Linked DNA regions of Rhinolophus ferrumequinum. The protein of the gene in region 1 interacts with the protein of each later gene in a biochemical or structural test. Links are inferred from orthologs where the notes say so. Each region holds a gene or a part of one and is shown on either strand. Other genes may lie near its edges.

Region 1 (7,544 bases):
TTTTATTGTTGAATACAATGAACATGATTAAATGTTTCAGATATGCCTATTCAGACCTTAAGCAAACCACCAAAAAAAAAAAAAAAGAAAGAAAGAAAGAAATGAAAAACTACTAAAAATCATCTTCTAAATCTGTTTGGGGAAGAGCTTTAATTGCCAACTTGATGTGAAGGACTGAATTCCCACTTGATAGGCACTGTTCCCAAGAAGATAGTAACAACACGTTTGCACTTCCCACCTCAGCCTCTTCTCTCATCCCTGCTGATCCTCTCCGAGTTGCCAAATAGTTACAAGGTCAGTCTTTCAAATCACTGCATTTTGAACTTCCTAAACCTTTGAGAGGGCCTCTGTGTATGGAAAAGAACAATAGCACTTCCAAAGCCATGTCTGGGAGTTCTTCAAAACTCCATTTGAATGCTGGGGTTTCAATCAAAGACATCAGCAATTTCTGATTGCTTAGAAGTTGACTTTTATACAGCTTTGATTAGGTCGCCCTTCTCAATAGGAAATCAAGAAAATCTCTGATCCCTTTTAGATTCCAGAATTGTCTCCAAGCCTTGTCAGGATAGGAAGTGAAAGAGCCGGAGGGGCTGGGGCAGGGGCGGTGGAGCTCGCTCCTCGTCACGCAATCTCTCCCCTCCTGCACATCTATCTTCAAGCCTGGGCAATTCTGGGTTCCGTCCAGAATCACGCACCACTGAGATAATAAAAACAATGGGTGCTAATTCAGGGGGTGGGGATGGTTTACCACGTTATGGCTTTCCTGAAGACCTATCATTGGCACATAAATGTACAAACGTGAACCCAATAATCAGGGGGTTCTGAATGTAAGCTACCTTCATATGATTACTTGAAAAAATGTTAAGTATTATGAAGTGTCAGCGGAACCCCCACAAGGCCTTTATTCAAAACCATCAACATTGCGAAAGTACTTCGAAATGGCCAGTAGGAGGGGAGCAGAAGGGAGGAACAAGCGACAGAGGATCCTCCTGCGGTCCCGGCAACTCGCTATAGAGGACGGCACTGTAGCATCCATTTCGGAGGACTCGCTGGCCCACCCAGCTCCGGGGCAGCAAAAGGCCCGCTGGCTTCCGCAAGCTTTCCACTCGCCCATCTTTCTAAAGGAGCTAAGCTCAGGCGTGCGCCAGCATCCAAACGCACCCGCAGGCACCCACCTCCGTGGGCACGCACCCCACCCTCGCCGACACACGCCGGAGCACACAGATGCCCGCGACGCGGCGCTCTCAGCTCCTCCTCCACCGCCAAGCCTCCAGCGAATGCCAGACTGCTGTCGCCAAGCGCCCCGGGCTTCCCCACCCCCATCCCATTCCTTTAGACTCTCCCAGCCCAGGCGGAAGTGCCCAGGCGAACCCCCAACAATGAGGACTTGTGTGATGCAGTTGGGGGTGGACGGGGAGCTTACAGGGAGTAGAACGTACACAGTCTGGCGGGGTCGGGAGGGAGCTGTGCAGGAGCGAAGTGGCATCAGCCTCTGGCAGCAGCCTTCCCTGGTGCCCTCCGCCTCCCAACCCTGCACCATCCCGCGTCCGGTCCACCACCCACACAAAGGCGTTTTAACAGGAGCAGAAAAAAGATGCGCCCTCCCACCAGGGGTCATAATGGTACTCTGCAGGACGAAGGCAGACGGGAAGGAGAGTCCGGGCTACAGTAACCACAGCGGTTTTGAAATTTACTTTGTACGCTCATCCCAAAACCCCTTTCCGACGGCGCGACACAAACTCCCCTCATCTCTGACTCCCTGACTCCAGGTTTTCTTGGCGACTGAGTCCTCCTTTTAGGGCTTCCTTAAGAGCCAAATCTTGAGGATTTAAAGTTTCCCCAGTAGGAAAAAGAAAGAAAAAGAAAAGAATTAGAAGAAGAAGAAAGAAAACCCTGAGCTCTGCATCCGAGGCAGAGCATGGAGTCTAGAGCATAGAAAAGCAAGAGGTGCGGGTTGGGGAGGCAACCTATTGGGGTGGCAGGGCGCCTGGGGAGTGGAACGGAGGGGAGGAAAACGATGGAGAGCCCGGCCGGTGGAGGACCCGGGGAAGGGCTGGAGTCAGAGGCGACGCGGGCTCTAGCTCTGACTGCTGTCTGCGAAAGCGTAGGGGTTCCTGGGATACATCCGATTTTTCCACAGGTCGGGGCAGAACCGCAGCGCGCAGAGGAGTAGGGAAGTGAAAACTGGGTTTGGCTGAGTAAGAAAGAGGATCCAGCCCCGGGACGCCGCCAGCGAAGCAGGGAGAAGGACTCGAGAAAACCGGGTAGCTTTTGGAGTGGGAGAACGAAGGTCCGTGGTTGGGTAGAGACTGGAGCGTAGAAGGAAGGAGGTTGCAAGGGGTCCTGGAGACAGACAAGTATTTGGGGTGAGGTCTGGAGAGGGGACCGCGAGTGGTCAGAAGTAGGGAGATTGTGGGTTATGGTGGAGACGCAGAAAGAAGGCTCAGAGGTTGCCCCTTTCCCCAGCAACTGGAGGGAGCGGGCGGAAAACTGCAGTCGCTGTCCCCGCGGTACCCCTAACCAAACTCCTGAGAGGGGTGCCCTGGGTGTCCCCGCGCCTTGTGCCCACCGGGCAACTGCCCGCTCTGAACTCCTGTCCTCACGGAACTCCTGCCGCCGCCGCACCTCACCTCGGCTCGCCGCGAGCATCCTCCGCCGCTGCCGCAGCCGCGCGGGAAGCGGCTCCCCATGCCCGGCGGGCGGCAGCACTCAGGCACGCTCTCCAGCCCGGGGAAGCCCCGGCGATCACGGAGCTGGGTCCATCCTCCCCGAGAGCCACGGCCCCGCGTCAGAGCAGGGGGAGGAGACCGCCCTGTGTGCAGACCCGCCTCCTCCTGCAGCCCCAGCCCCTCCTGCCCCACGCCCACGGGGCGCCCGTGGGCGCTGCTCACCTGCTGGCAACCCAGCCGCCGCCTCCGGGGTGCCCGCCGCGCGCCCCTTGTCCCAGCCTTGCGGCTCCTGCTCTCGCTCCCGCCCGGCGCTCTCTGCGCTGCCCGAGCGCGCTCCGAGGGTTTAGCCGAGTCGCGGTGGCGACGAGGAGGAGGAAGAGCGAGCCAGCGAGCGAGCGGGGGCGCCGCGGTTCGCCGTGGCGCCTCTGGGGCCCTTGCACTCACTCCCCAGCCCGGCGTGGAGGGGGAGAGCGGAGCAGAGAGCACAGGGTACCCAACCCCGGCTGTGCCAGCGGAGAGCGCGTGGGGGAGAGAAGGAGAGAAAACTACCGGACTCGGGTTTCAGAAAGTATCCAGTGTTTTCGCCACCATGACCACCACCACCACCAGCTGCAGCCCTCGCCCGGCCTCCCTCATTTTTATCTAGGGCTACTCTTTTATCCAAACCTCTAAACATAGGCACACCCAAATACAAAGAGCGCCAGTGGGTGAGAACTAGAATTGAGGTTCGGCAAGGACATGTAGCCCCCACGCAGGAGGGGGCGCTAACTCCCAGCGGCCAAATGTGGTTTGGCAGCTCTGGTCTTCGCTGAAACTTCCCACGCAAAGTTGATAGAGGAGAGGGTTGCATCTGTCACGTTTTCATCAGTCCAGGGACTCAGGCAACTGAAAGTATGCAGGCCCCAGGTAAACCCCAACTCGCCCCTTCCTACCCAGCCTCCCCACTCCTTTTCTTAAAATTCCTAGGAGAGGAGGAGTCTCAGATTAGAACATGCTTGGGAGAATACCCCAGCTTCCTACTTCTGGTCCTGGTTTACAAAAATTCAGTAAGTGGCAGAAAATATTGTGTCGGTCTGGAAATTTTTCTATCCTGAGACTGGATTCAACTCCAGTAAATGCTTGTTGTGGTATATTGGCCTCCAGAGGGCAAAATGCCAGGTGTGGGAGGAAACAAATCAGATCAAGTGCTGACCCATTGGAGCAGGTCATGGAAAAGGAAGAGTCAGGAAACTGTCCTTCAAAAAGTTTATTTTTATCCTTTGTAGGGGCCACACTTCCTGTCCTCCAGCTGTGTAATAATAAAGCTAATGTGGTGGATTTGAGTTTTGTTTTTTTTCCCTTATAGCTTCTGTCACTCACCCATGAAAATTTAATGAAGCATTTAGGGTTATTACCTCTAGAGTCAATGGGCTAAAAATATTTAGCCTAATGCAATCCTTGTGGAGCCAATAGGTCTGTGGCTTGTACATCCAAAGTCATCGAGAGACCCTCCTTTTCACCACAAAATTCACGACCCATTAAACTTATTCCGTAATAACAGCTTCTGTACAAATGGAGGCCCCAGTGTATGGAGGCTGTCATGCACCTCCTGAAAAGATAGCAATTTACACAGAGACAAGAAAAACGTGTGAGGTCATTGGCAGGATACAATCTAGGGGAAATAGTTGATCAGAGGACACTCCCAGCAAGGTGGGAGGCAGGTGCCCCCTTGATATAACTGTTTCTACTGACTCCTGGGTATGACCAGCAAATCTAATGGTGGGGACCACAAAACTGGCTCAAGTCTCTCCGGCTTTTTCAATGTTCTAGAGAGTGGCAAGAGTTACTATTGAACACTTAAGATTCATTTAGTAGGAAGTTCAGGCTCTCCAGCCAACTCTAATAAGATTAATAAAAGACTTCAGGTTCCTACTCTGTAAAGACAGACATCGGGAATCTGAACTCAATACAAAAAAAACAGAAATAAAAACAAAAACACCAGGGAACACAGACCAATCAAGAAGACTTGGTTGAAATAAAAGGAAAGAGTATAGAAAACTATTACGCACTTCAGGTGGCTGGGGCAAATGTCAAACTTTAGATTATCAAACAGAGGTCGAACTTTTCATTGACTCTACCAAAAAAAACAAACAAACAAAAATCCAAAGTTTCTCCATGCTTCAGTGGATAGCCAGGGAACATAAAAACCATTTACATCCATTTTAATATCCCACATGTAAGAGTTGTTGCGATCATCCCTCTTCTACCTTGTTCTGTTTTCAATTGACATCATGATAACAGACACTGAAGGGAGTGTGGAACACTGAGTTGGAAGAGTAATAGAAATGGAAAAGGCTCATGTAAAACTCTATTTCTATTCAGTGCTGGACATGGTCCACTATGGAAACTGGGCAAATTCCCATTAAATCCAACAGGGGCAACAAGCTGCAGCTGTTCTCAACTCCAGGCTGGAAGAAAGCATAATATGTAGATTCTAACTGCACACAGCTGCCCAAGGACCTAATAGTCTTTTGGGTTAAGCCAAGCCGAATTTTGAAGTAGTACTATTTTAACTTATGCTAAACATGTCAAATAACAAGTCATCTCAAATTTACGGTATTTTTTCTTCTCATTTAAATAACAAGGCCATTTGTATTAAGTTTTGCATATGAAAAAAAATCCATATGCTTTCTTCTACCATCTACTCTGAGAAACAACAAAGTAATGAGTACAGCAAAGATGTATATATTGCTTATTATGTTTCAGGCACCCTTCTGGGTCCTTTCCATATCTTAATCATTTAGCCTTCGTGCTAACCCAGTGAGAGAGGTACTCTCATGGTGTGTACTGGATAGAATACAGACTGGAAGCTGATGGGCCTGCATCAACTTTGACAAGTTACTTACCTCTCTGAACTTCTAAATTCTACAATGGTGATACCTACTTCGTGAGACACGTACTTCATGAGATTGCCGTGAGCCTTAAATGAGATAATGCATTGGACATGGTGGGAACAGAATAAGTCACACACTATGCATTGGTTCTCTTTCCAGAATTCCAAACTAGTTAATTTTAAGTCAACAACAACATTTATGGAGTCCATTCTATGCATCAGGCACTGTGCTAGGCATTGGACATAATGATGATAAATCAGAAACAGATCCTGCTTTTGAGAAGCTCAGTGTCAACTGAATAAAAAACATGGGCATGGATAGCATGCAGATGGCAAAAGGAGTTTTATTGAATTCTCATAATTCATCCTTATGCACTTGATTCTCAAGATACTCAGAAGGGCTGCCTATTTAACTGCTGTTTGAAACTGACCCATCACTGAAAGCAAAACCAAATGTCAGAAATCTTAAATCCCACTGGCAATAACTCATCCGAAGAAAGCAATGCAAAGTAGCCTGTTTTGTGTATTCTATATGATTTAAAATTCTCTTTATTCCTACATTTGTTTCAAATATACCTTCCATTGGATGGAGTATAATAAAATGAATTTGTGCTGTAAGCGCTGGGAGTTTCAAACACAAATTATTATATAGCCACCATTTATTAAATAGTTTAAGTGCTTGCATATGCCAGGAATATGCTAATATTTCTATACACATAAAGCTCTCAAATTAATAAAAAATTAATGTTCAGAAGGAACATTTTTACAAAGCTTATTAGAGACATCATGTGTTCAAAATATACTAACATATAGAACACAGAAAATTTCAAAGGTTAATACCAAAGGTGTAAGTTTCTCACAGTCCCTTTCATTCAAAGTCATGTTCAAACTCAGATTGTATTCTATTCACTTATTCAAAAAATATTTACTGATCACTTACTCTATACCAGACATAATGTCAGGCATGAGCAGAAGATAAAAGCAAAACAAAAATCTTACTCTCCAACAAGCCATAGCCACATGAAGGAAACATGTCATCATGTTGCACTGCGATCAGTGCTATCCGTGATAATGCTAAGTACAGGATTTTAGCGGCACATCCAATAGGGGTATTTAACCCAGGGTAGGATGTTAAGAAGACCTCACAAAAGAAGTTGTATCACCCTGAAAGATAAGGAGTAACCGGATGAAGAAGGGAAGGGTATTTCAGGCAAAGAAAAGAGAATGTGCAAAAGCACAGAAGAAATTATTCTCTGGGGGATGAGACTGTAGTTGACTCTAGAAAAACAGCATAAACAAATAGGAAGGGGTCTGGCTTGCCATGTTCAAGACTTTTGAATTTAGTGTGAAAATAAAGGGGTCCAGTTTTGAAAAAAGCAGGAAAAATATTTTGCAAACCTTACATTATCCACATTTCAGACACTTTTCTTCTCTGCTGTAGAAACAAGTAAACTATCCAATTTCTATTTCTCTTCTGAGGTCAAAAAAGCAATGAAAAAAAATTTCTATGTGGCTTCATCAAAACAGAAGATCCCTTCTTTTATGATACTGGCCTTGCTTGATTCCAGGGAAAGGTTGTTTGGCAGTATTACTAAACTTGACTCTGGTTTACAGTCACTATAAATAACAGTCCTTTTATTTTTCCAAGGAGGGCGTGGAGGAGAGTAGCAACACTGCAATTGCATTTATGCCAGCAGTCTGCTCTTTTTAGCTAAATGCACAGAAGAAACAAAGTGGAGAGTTAAAGTGATTGTCAAAGGGCTCATAAGTCCCAATACAAACCCCCAATTTTTTCACTCATAAAGTGGCATTAAGGGGATGTTTGTACTTGAAAATAGGAGTGGACTAAACGTATCAGAAAATGACTGAATTTCTGATGCCTAGAGAGTATCAGGGCAGAGAAGAATCAGCACATCACGTGACATCGCTGCCATGTATTTTGTGACTACTGTGTTGTTTGTTTGTTTGTTTTGCCTCCTTGGTGCCATTCCTCCTTCTTCTGT
Region 2 (6,890 bases), about 3.3 Mb from region 1:
AGCACGGTATGATCAGAGAGATTGGGAAACTCAGTTTTGTGGGAGCCCAGAGGAGGAGGCAGGACCTCTCCAGACCAGGCTGGAAGGCTTCTCAGAGGAAGAGGTATTGGAACTGAGGCCCAAAGGATGACTAGAAATTAGCCAGTGCAAGAGTGTTCTAAGCAGAGGGTACAACCTGGCAGAGGCCTGGAGCTTCAGTTCTTGAGGGGCAGCGTGAGGGACTAGATGTGCATGCGGTGGGCTGCTAGGCATCTGGTGACTCTAGAGGAAGGTCCTGGAAGCTTGAGGGGGGCGGAGAAGGGTGTTTTGCTGATTGCAGGTGGAATGTCCCTGTTTTTGTCTCATAGGGAGGGAATTCATTGCACTTTGGGTTGGATTTGAGGGATTTCTTTGGAAACCCAGGAGTGGACAAGGCCCATATCTTTGAGTCAGCCTAGGATGGAGAGAGAGGACAGGTAAAGCAAGAAGTCCCCCGGGCAACAGAAGGTGTACCAGGACCTCAATGTTCATCTGGTGTCTGGTGTGTACCAAGGGCTGGGCTTTCTCCATTTGCCCCTCACTGGAATTAAGCAACTTATGTGCCCTGAACAATTCCCCATTCCGCCATCTGGGTTTGAATACCTATTTACTAGCTGTGTGACCTACCCATTCCTCAGTTTGGTTATCTATGAAATGGGATAAACGTAAAACCTGCCTCATGGAGCTGTTGTAAGGACTAAATAAATTAAAGCATTTAGAGCACTTGGATGATCACCCACAAGCGTACAATAAGTATTAGCTATTATTGTAACGTGATATGGTTTTCCTTTTAACTTTTTCAAGTATTTAAACATCATTTATCTAATGCTTGCTATATGTCAAGCCTTGTATTTATCCTCTGAATATAACGATGATAAGACACAGTCCTTCTGGGGCTACAGAAACCTTCAGTAAGGGCAGGAACAAACAAGGACTCAGAAATGCAGGACAGCAGGTTCCTGTCCTCAAGGAGATCACAGGCTGACTGGGGAAAGAGGGAAGTGGCCCTAACTAGGTGAGGGTTGATGGGAGCCTGGAGAACTTTCTCCTGAGGGGGGCTGTTGAGAGACAAGGAGTTGCCCACTTTTGCAACTAGACATATGTGGAACAGTATGATCAAAGACACCCCCCACTTTGCCTGGTCTCAATCTGTAATATTTGTGTTGGGAAGTCATCAGAGGTTTTTGAATAGGGAATTATGTTTGAATAATAGCAACATAACAAAGTTATTATGCACCTACTGTATATTGCATATTGTGCATACATAATCTCATCTAATAAAATCCTCACTATAACCCTCATCATTCCCATTTTACAGATGAAGAAACTGAGCCACAGAGGTTAAGTGAGTTGCCCAAGGTCATATAAGTAAGAAGGGAAGGAACAGACTTAAACCCAGGCAGTCTGACCCAGGCTCTTAATCTCTCTACCTTACTGCCTCTGAACTTCAGTCCACACCATTATCTTAAAACTAGAATGAACTTTGGAAATTCCCCAATTTTACAGATGAGAAATTGAGGCTCAGAGATGGGAACTGACTTTCCTAAGACCACAGAGTGAAGGAGGAAGGGCTGAGCTGGGGAGGTCAATCTGGTCTTTAGGAGGTGCTCTATACGCTCCATAGTCCCAGGTACCCTGTTGTTACAGTGGGCATATTGCTGGCACAGTGGGCATTATTGTGCTTGGAACAGTATCCAGACTCCTTACTACGATTTATAAAGCTCTCATATGATCAGGGCCTTGTTGAATCCCTCTGACCTTACCTGGTCACCAACTTCTCCTTGTCACCAAGCTCCAGCCTACCTCAAGGCCTCTGCACTGCTCTTCCCTCTAACAGGAATGCTGTTCCACATGATCTTCATGTGGTTGGGCTCCATTTACTCTGTTTGGGCTGCCATACAAAATACCATAGATCGAGTGGCTTATAAACAACAGAAAAATTTAATTCTCACAGTTCTGGAGGCTGAGAAGTCCAAGATCAAAGTGCCCTCTGATTTGGTGTCTGGTGAGAGCCCATTTCCTGGTTCATAGCTAGCCTTCTTCTCGCTGTCTTGTCATATTGTAGAAGGGGCCAGAGATCTCTCTGGGTTCTCTTATGAAGGCACTAATGCCATTCATGTCCTGATTGCCTCCCAAAGGCCCATCACTCCACATACCCTCACACTGAGGATTAGGTTTCAACATACGAATTTGGGAAGGACACAAACATTCAATCTATGACAGGTTCCTTCCTGCCATTCAATGAAATGTCACCAACTCAGAGAGGCCTTCCTTGATCACCTCTCCAAAATTACCTGCCATCACTCTTATATTACACTGTTTTATTTTTTCCACAGCAGTTGTGATCTGAAATTATCTTTTTTATTCTCTTGCTTTTGTGTCTGTCTTTCCCAACTAAAATGTCAGCTGCAGGAGAGCAAGAGTGACCTCATCTATTTCTACACTGTATCCCCAGGCCTCAGACAATGCCTGGTATATAGTAGGTGCTCCCTAAGTTTTTGTTGAAAGCGTGCCTGCATTTCGTTGTCGTCTGTTGACGGTATGTCTCCCCACCAGGGCTGGTACCATGTCTGATTTATCTTGGCACCTCTAGGCCCAGGACAGGTTGGCTGAATGAACAAAGATAGAAGGCGTAATGGCAGGAGTACCTGCTGGGCTTTCTGTGGAGTGGCCACAGCCATTGCTAAGGGCCTGCCCTTTCTGGGAAGTAATATCCAGAGGTTGCTGATGAAACAGAGTCTGTCTCTTTTAATGGCCAATGCCCTCAAGCCTCATTGTCCAAAGAAGGTTGTGGGGGTTGGGCTTTGCTTACTAGCAGTGTGCTAAAATCTCATCCTGGGTCTGCGGTCTGCACCCTGCACCCCGGTATGGGTGAGGTGGGGCTGTGACCTTCCAGAGGAGGGACCTTCTCATTCATACAGAGGCCTGCAGCAGTGGCGGACAGAGGCCCTGAGTGTGCATTCCCTATGGGCAGGGATGATACATCCTTTCTGTGGGGCCCCACAGTCCCTGCCCTTCTCCATCACAGCAAGGACTACCATGTTGTCCCTGTGGGTCCTTCTGATTGTCTCCCCTCTGGCCTGCCCTCTGGAGAATGTCGAAAAAGAATGAATGAATAAAGTCTGCACCAGGCCCAAGTCACCTGCCTCACATCCTCGGCCATGGTCACGTGAGCTGGTAACGTGCACAGATGTACATGAGCACATTAACCAGCTACTCAGATGTGTAATCAGGGCTGGAGCAGATGCGGGGTGCAGAGACCCAGTCCCTCTCCCCCACCTTCTCCCTGATCTCGCACATCCTGGTATCCCAGCTCCTGTGTATCATCACCTCAGCGCCATGTGCACACTACATAGGCCTGTGCATCTAGGAACATCCTCTCCCCTCCGGCCCAAGTTCACTCCTAGGCATCCATCAACCTTCCATCAATTAGCCTGTCACCTGCTCCAGGCAGCCTGTTCTGCTTCCCCTGGACTGTCTACCTCTGAGGGCAGGGACCTCGCTAGGCTCACCCCAGCGTCTGCAGCGCCCAGCACGCAGGGGGACTCTGAGCACGGTCACCAAGAGCCTGGGGAGGGAGGAGTGGACCAAGGACATGAGGGAGGAGGGAGAGGTGGCAGCAGCGAGGAGCGTGGGGCGGAGGCGGCAGCGGGAGGGGGCGCGCGCGCCGGTGGCGGCAGCCCAGGGCCGGGGCCGCGCGCCCAGCCTGAGCCCGCCCCGCCGCCGAGCGTCACGGAACCTGCTTGAAATGCAGCCGAGGAGCCGGGGCGGGCGGCAGCGGCGGCGGCGGCGGCGGGGGCAGCGGCAGCCCCGGCGCCGCGGCAAGGACTCGGCGGGTTGAAGCGCGGCGGCGGCAGCGGCACGGGGTGCACGGGGCGCGGCGGCCGGAGCCCGGGGCCCGCCATGGGCCGCCCCGAGCGGGGCGCGCTCCGGCCGCTGGTGCTGCTGTTGCTGCTGCTGCGGCTCCAGCATCCTGCGGCGGCGGCAGATTCACTGCTTGGCGGCCAAGGTGCGTGCAGCTGGTGCCCGGCCCGGCTCTGCGCTGCCGGAGCTGCCAACAAAGCGCGGCCCGGCGGACAGGGAGCGGGTTGCGCCAGGGCCCCCAACCCCCGCCTGGCAGAGGCGCTAGTGGGGAATAGACTCCTACAGACCGAGTTATCCCATAATTTGTCCCTCGCCCCCCGCGGCTCCCTGTGCTTTGGGCTCTGCTCCTGGGGGATGGGCGCAGTGGACGCTCCGCGGACCGGAACTTTGCAGGGAGGGTTGGTCATTGATGGTTTTGTGTGGGCTGATTCCAGTGGTTGGGGTTCATTTGACACGAGCTCTCCGCGGCGGCGATGAGCGGAGCCAGGCGACTTCCCGCCTGACAATGCGTTTCCGGGGATCCCTGCGTACTGCTGAGAAAGAGGGGCAGCCTGCGAGAGGAGGATGTGCCCGTTGCGCCCAGTGCGTGTGTCGCGGCGTGTTTGTGGGCTCTCTGTGTGCTGTCTGCGTAGGTCTCTGACTATGGGCCGAGTGTGTGGGTGAGTGTGTCTGAATGGGGGGTATGCCTAAATCGTGTGAAACAGACTGTGTGCCTGGCCTCGTCGTGCCACGGCGCTGCCCGCCATCCCAGGAACCCTCCTGCCCTCCTTTAGGATCAAGGGCGCCCGAGGTACCCGGGGCGGTTAGCTTCAGCATTGTCCCTTTCCTTCACCCCAGTAGACCCCTCCGGGTGGCCAGGACTGCATGGTCCGTGGGTCCGGCTCACTCCCCTCTCCCTGCGCAGGGCCGGTCAAGGAATGCGAAGAGGACCAGTTCCGGTGCCGGAACGAACGCTGCATCCCCTCTGTATGGAGATGCGACGAGGATGATGACTGCTCCGACAACAGCGACGAGGACGACTGCCGTGAGTGGCCAGCAGGATTGGGAGAGAGCGGTGGGGGGCGCCTTGCTTAGCGCGCACGTGGCGGCAGCTGCAGCCGGGCCACCTGCGTGGACCTTACTGTCGCAGATCGAAGCCGGGAAGCCGCCCGGGCGCCGCCTCCCTCCGGGCTGAGTGGCTCAGAGCAATACGGCTGGAGCTGGGCGGCAGGCGTGTCCTAATGGGGTCTTGGGCGGAGCCCGGGGCGATGTGGCCCTGATGGAGGGCACGCCACACCCGGCTGCTGGGCCGGAACTGTGAACCGGGAAGCGCCGTCCCTGCACGAGTCTAGCTTCCAGCGATACAGCTTTCCCGTACTCCCGCATCGGCTCCACAGAACGCGCGCGTGCCTCAAAGTTCCACGCAGCTCCAGGCCTTGCCGCGCTCCTTTTCCTTCTTGATTTTTTGTGAATGAATGGGCTCCCCGGGGCCCCTGATTGGCTGGGCGAGGACCACCCCATAAGCCCCCGTGTCCAGAGCGGCCAATCGTGGAGCGGGAGGGTGTGTAGTTTTCGGGCGCGGAGGGTGCAGGGGCCCTGCCCTGACCCCGCCCCGGCCACACCCCCGCGCACACCCTGGGGGAGGTAGGTGCAGGCGGGGCCTGGGCCCTGACGCCGGTTGCTTTTCTGCCTAGTCACGGTGAAGCCCTTTTTGTGCCACCCTGGTTAGCTGACTGCACTCTCCTGCCACCTCGGCTCAGGCATGAGTCATGGGGCAGATCAGAACGAAGGGGGCCAGGAAGGGACCCGAGGATCGCCAGGCCGCGCGTGAAGGCCCCTGCTGTGTGCTGGTAGTGGGCCGTCTTTGCTGAGTGTGGTGCTTGTACACCTGGGCGCCGACTGATTTGGAAGTTCTCTGTTGGGGTGCAGCGGTTTCGGCTGTCTCTGGGACTGGAAGAGAATTAGGTGACTGTTGTCGCGGTGGAGTGTTTCCAGGAACAAAAAAACAGGCCTGTGGGAAACATGGACGCCGGTGGTCATTCATTCTTCATTACTAGGCGCCTACTGTGTGCAGGCCCTGGAGTACTTGGAGAACAGGCCCAGCCCGATGGCCACGGAGGACAGGGTTTACAGGAGGACACACTCAAAGCTCCGCAGAGTGAGAGGGGTGGCCGCGTGGTAGAGAGAACACCTGGTTAGGCACCTCTGTTGAGTCCTCGAGTTTTTTCTTTTTTTTCTAGGTTTTCCCGTCAGCCTCCAGGTTTATTTTCTCAGACCCAACCCAGAGTTCGCTCCGTGACTGGGGCATATCTTCTCCTCCTACCTCAGTTTCCTTACCTGACCACTTAGGCTAACGATTCCTGCCCTGGTTTTGAGGACCAGTTCTAGTAATTGGGAGTCATGAGACTAACATGTACTGACTGGTAGCGGTGTGCCAAGCACTGTGGTAAGTGCTTATTTTACATAAACTCCCTGAATCTTCAGACTAGCCCTATTTTACAGACTGAACAAACGGAGGCACTGACATATTAAGTTACTTGCCCCACAGCTGTTGAGCTGCTAAGTAAGAGTTTGGATTTAAGCATCTGATTTCAAAGTTCTTAGCCTAATCACAACTCTGACCATTTCCCAGTGCTATTGAAATTATGAATATGGCCAAACTGGGGTAAAATATTGTAGTCAGTCTCATCCCTGGGAGTTGTTCTTCTATGGTCCCTTTTGCAGTGGGAGTGTTGAGGGTGAGGCAGGGAAAAAGAAACTGCATTTCTAGGCTGATTTCACTATCTCCCGGATTCTTTATAACATCAAGCTGTGAAGAGCAGAAGTTTTTCTTGTCATCCTGTTTGTAGATAAGGTCGCTGGTGGAGAAGTTGTGTGATTTGCCCAAGGTCACCCAGTGGAGAAGGACAGAACTGGGTCAGGATGTCCTCGGTCAGGATGTCCGCCTACCTTCCAGCTCAGGGGCACTATCTGCTGCGGTGCGGAATGTGGTACAGAAGGACCCTGGAGGGTGGTCCAGGAACTGGGAA

What was found.
Region 2: the proteins of DAB1 (region 1) and LRP8 form a complex in vitro, tested with the Homo sapiens proteins (2 studies listed by BioGRID). The link is inferred for Rhinolophus ferrumequinum from reciprocal best matches to the Homo sapiens genes DAB1 and LRP8.

Annotation. Positions count from the first base shown.
Region 1 is NC_046292.1:41,418,863-41,426,406, forward strand, and holds the start of DAB1 (disabled homolog 1), read right to left. Parts: upstream 3,001-7,544; 5' UTR 2,892-3,000; intron 2,744-2,891; exon of another isoform or gene 2,631-2,743; intron 1-2,630. UniProt on the Homo sapiens protein: Signaling adapter of the reelin-mediated signaling pathway, which regulates the migration and differentiation of postmitotic neurons during brain development.
Region 2 is NC_046292.1:38,163,337-38,170,226, reverse strand, and holds the start of LRP8 (low-density lipoprotein receptor-related protein 8), read left to right. Parts: upstream 1-3,878; 5' UTR 3,879-3,921; coding exon 3,922-4,027; intron 4,028-4,786; coding exon 4,787-4,906; intron 4,907-6,890. UniProt on the Homo sapiens protein: Cell surface receptor for Reelin (RELN) and apolipoprotein E (apoE)-containing ligands. LRP8 participates in transmitting the extracellular Reelin signal to intracellular signaling processes, by binding to DAB1 on its cytoplasmic tail.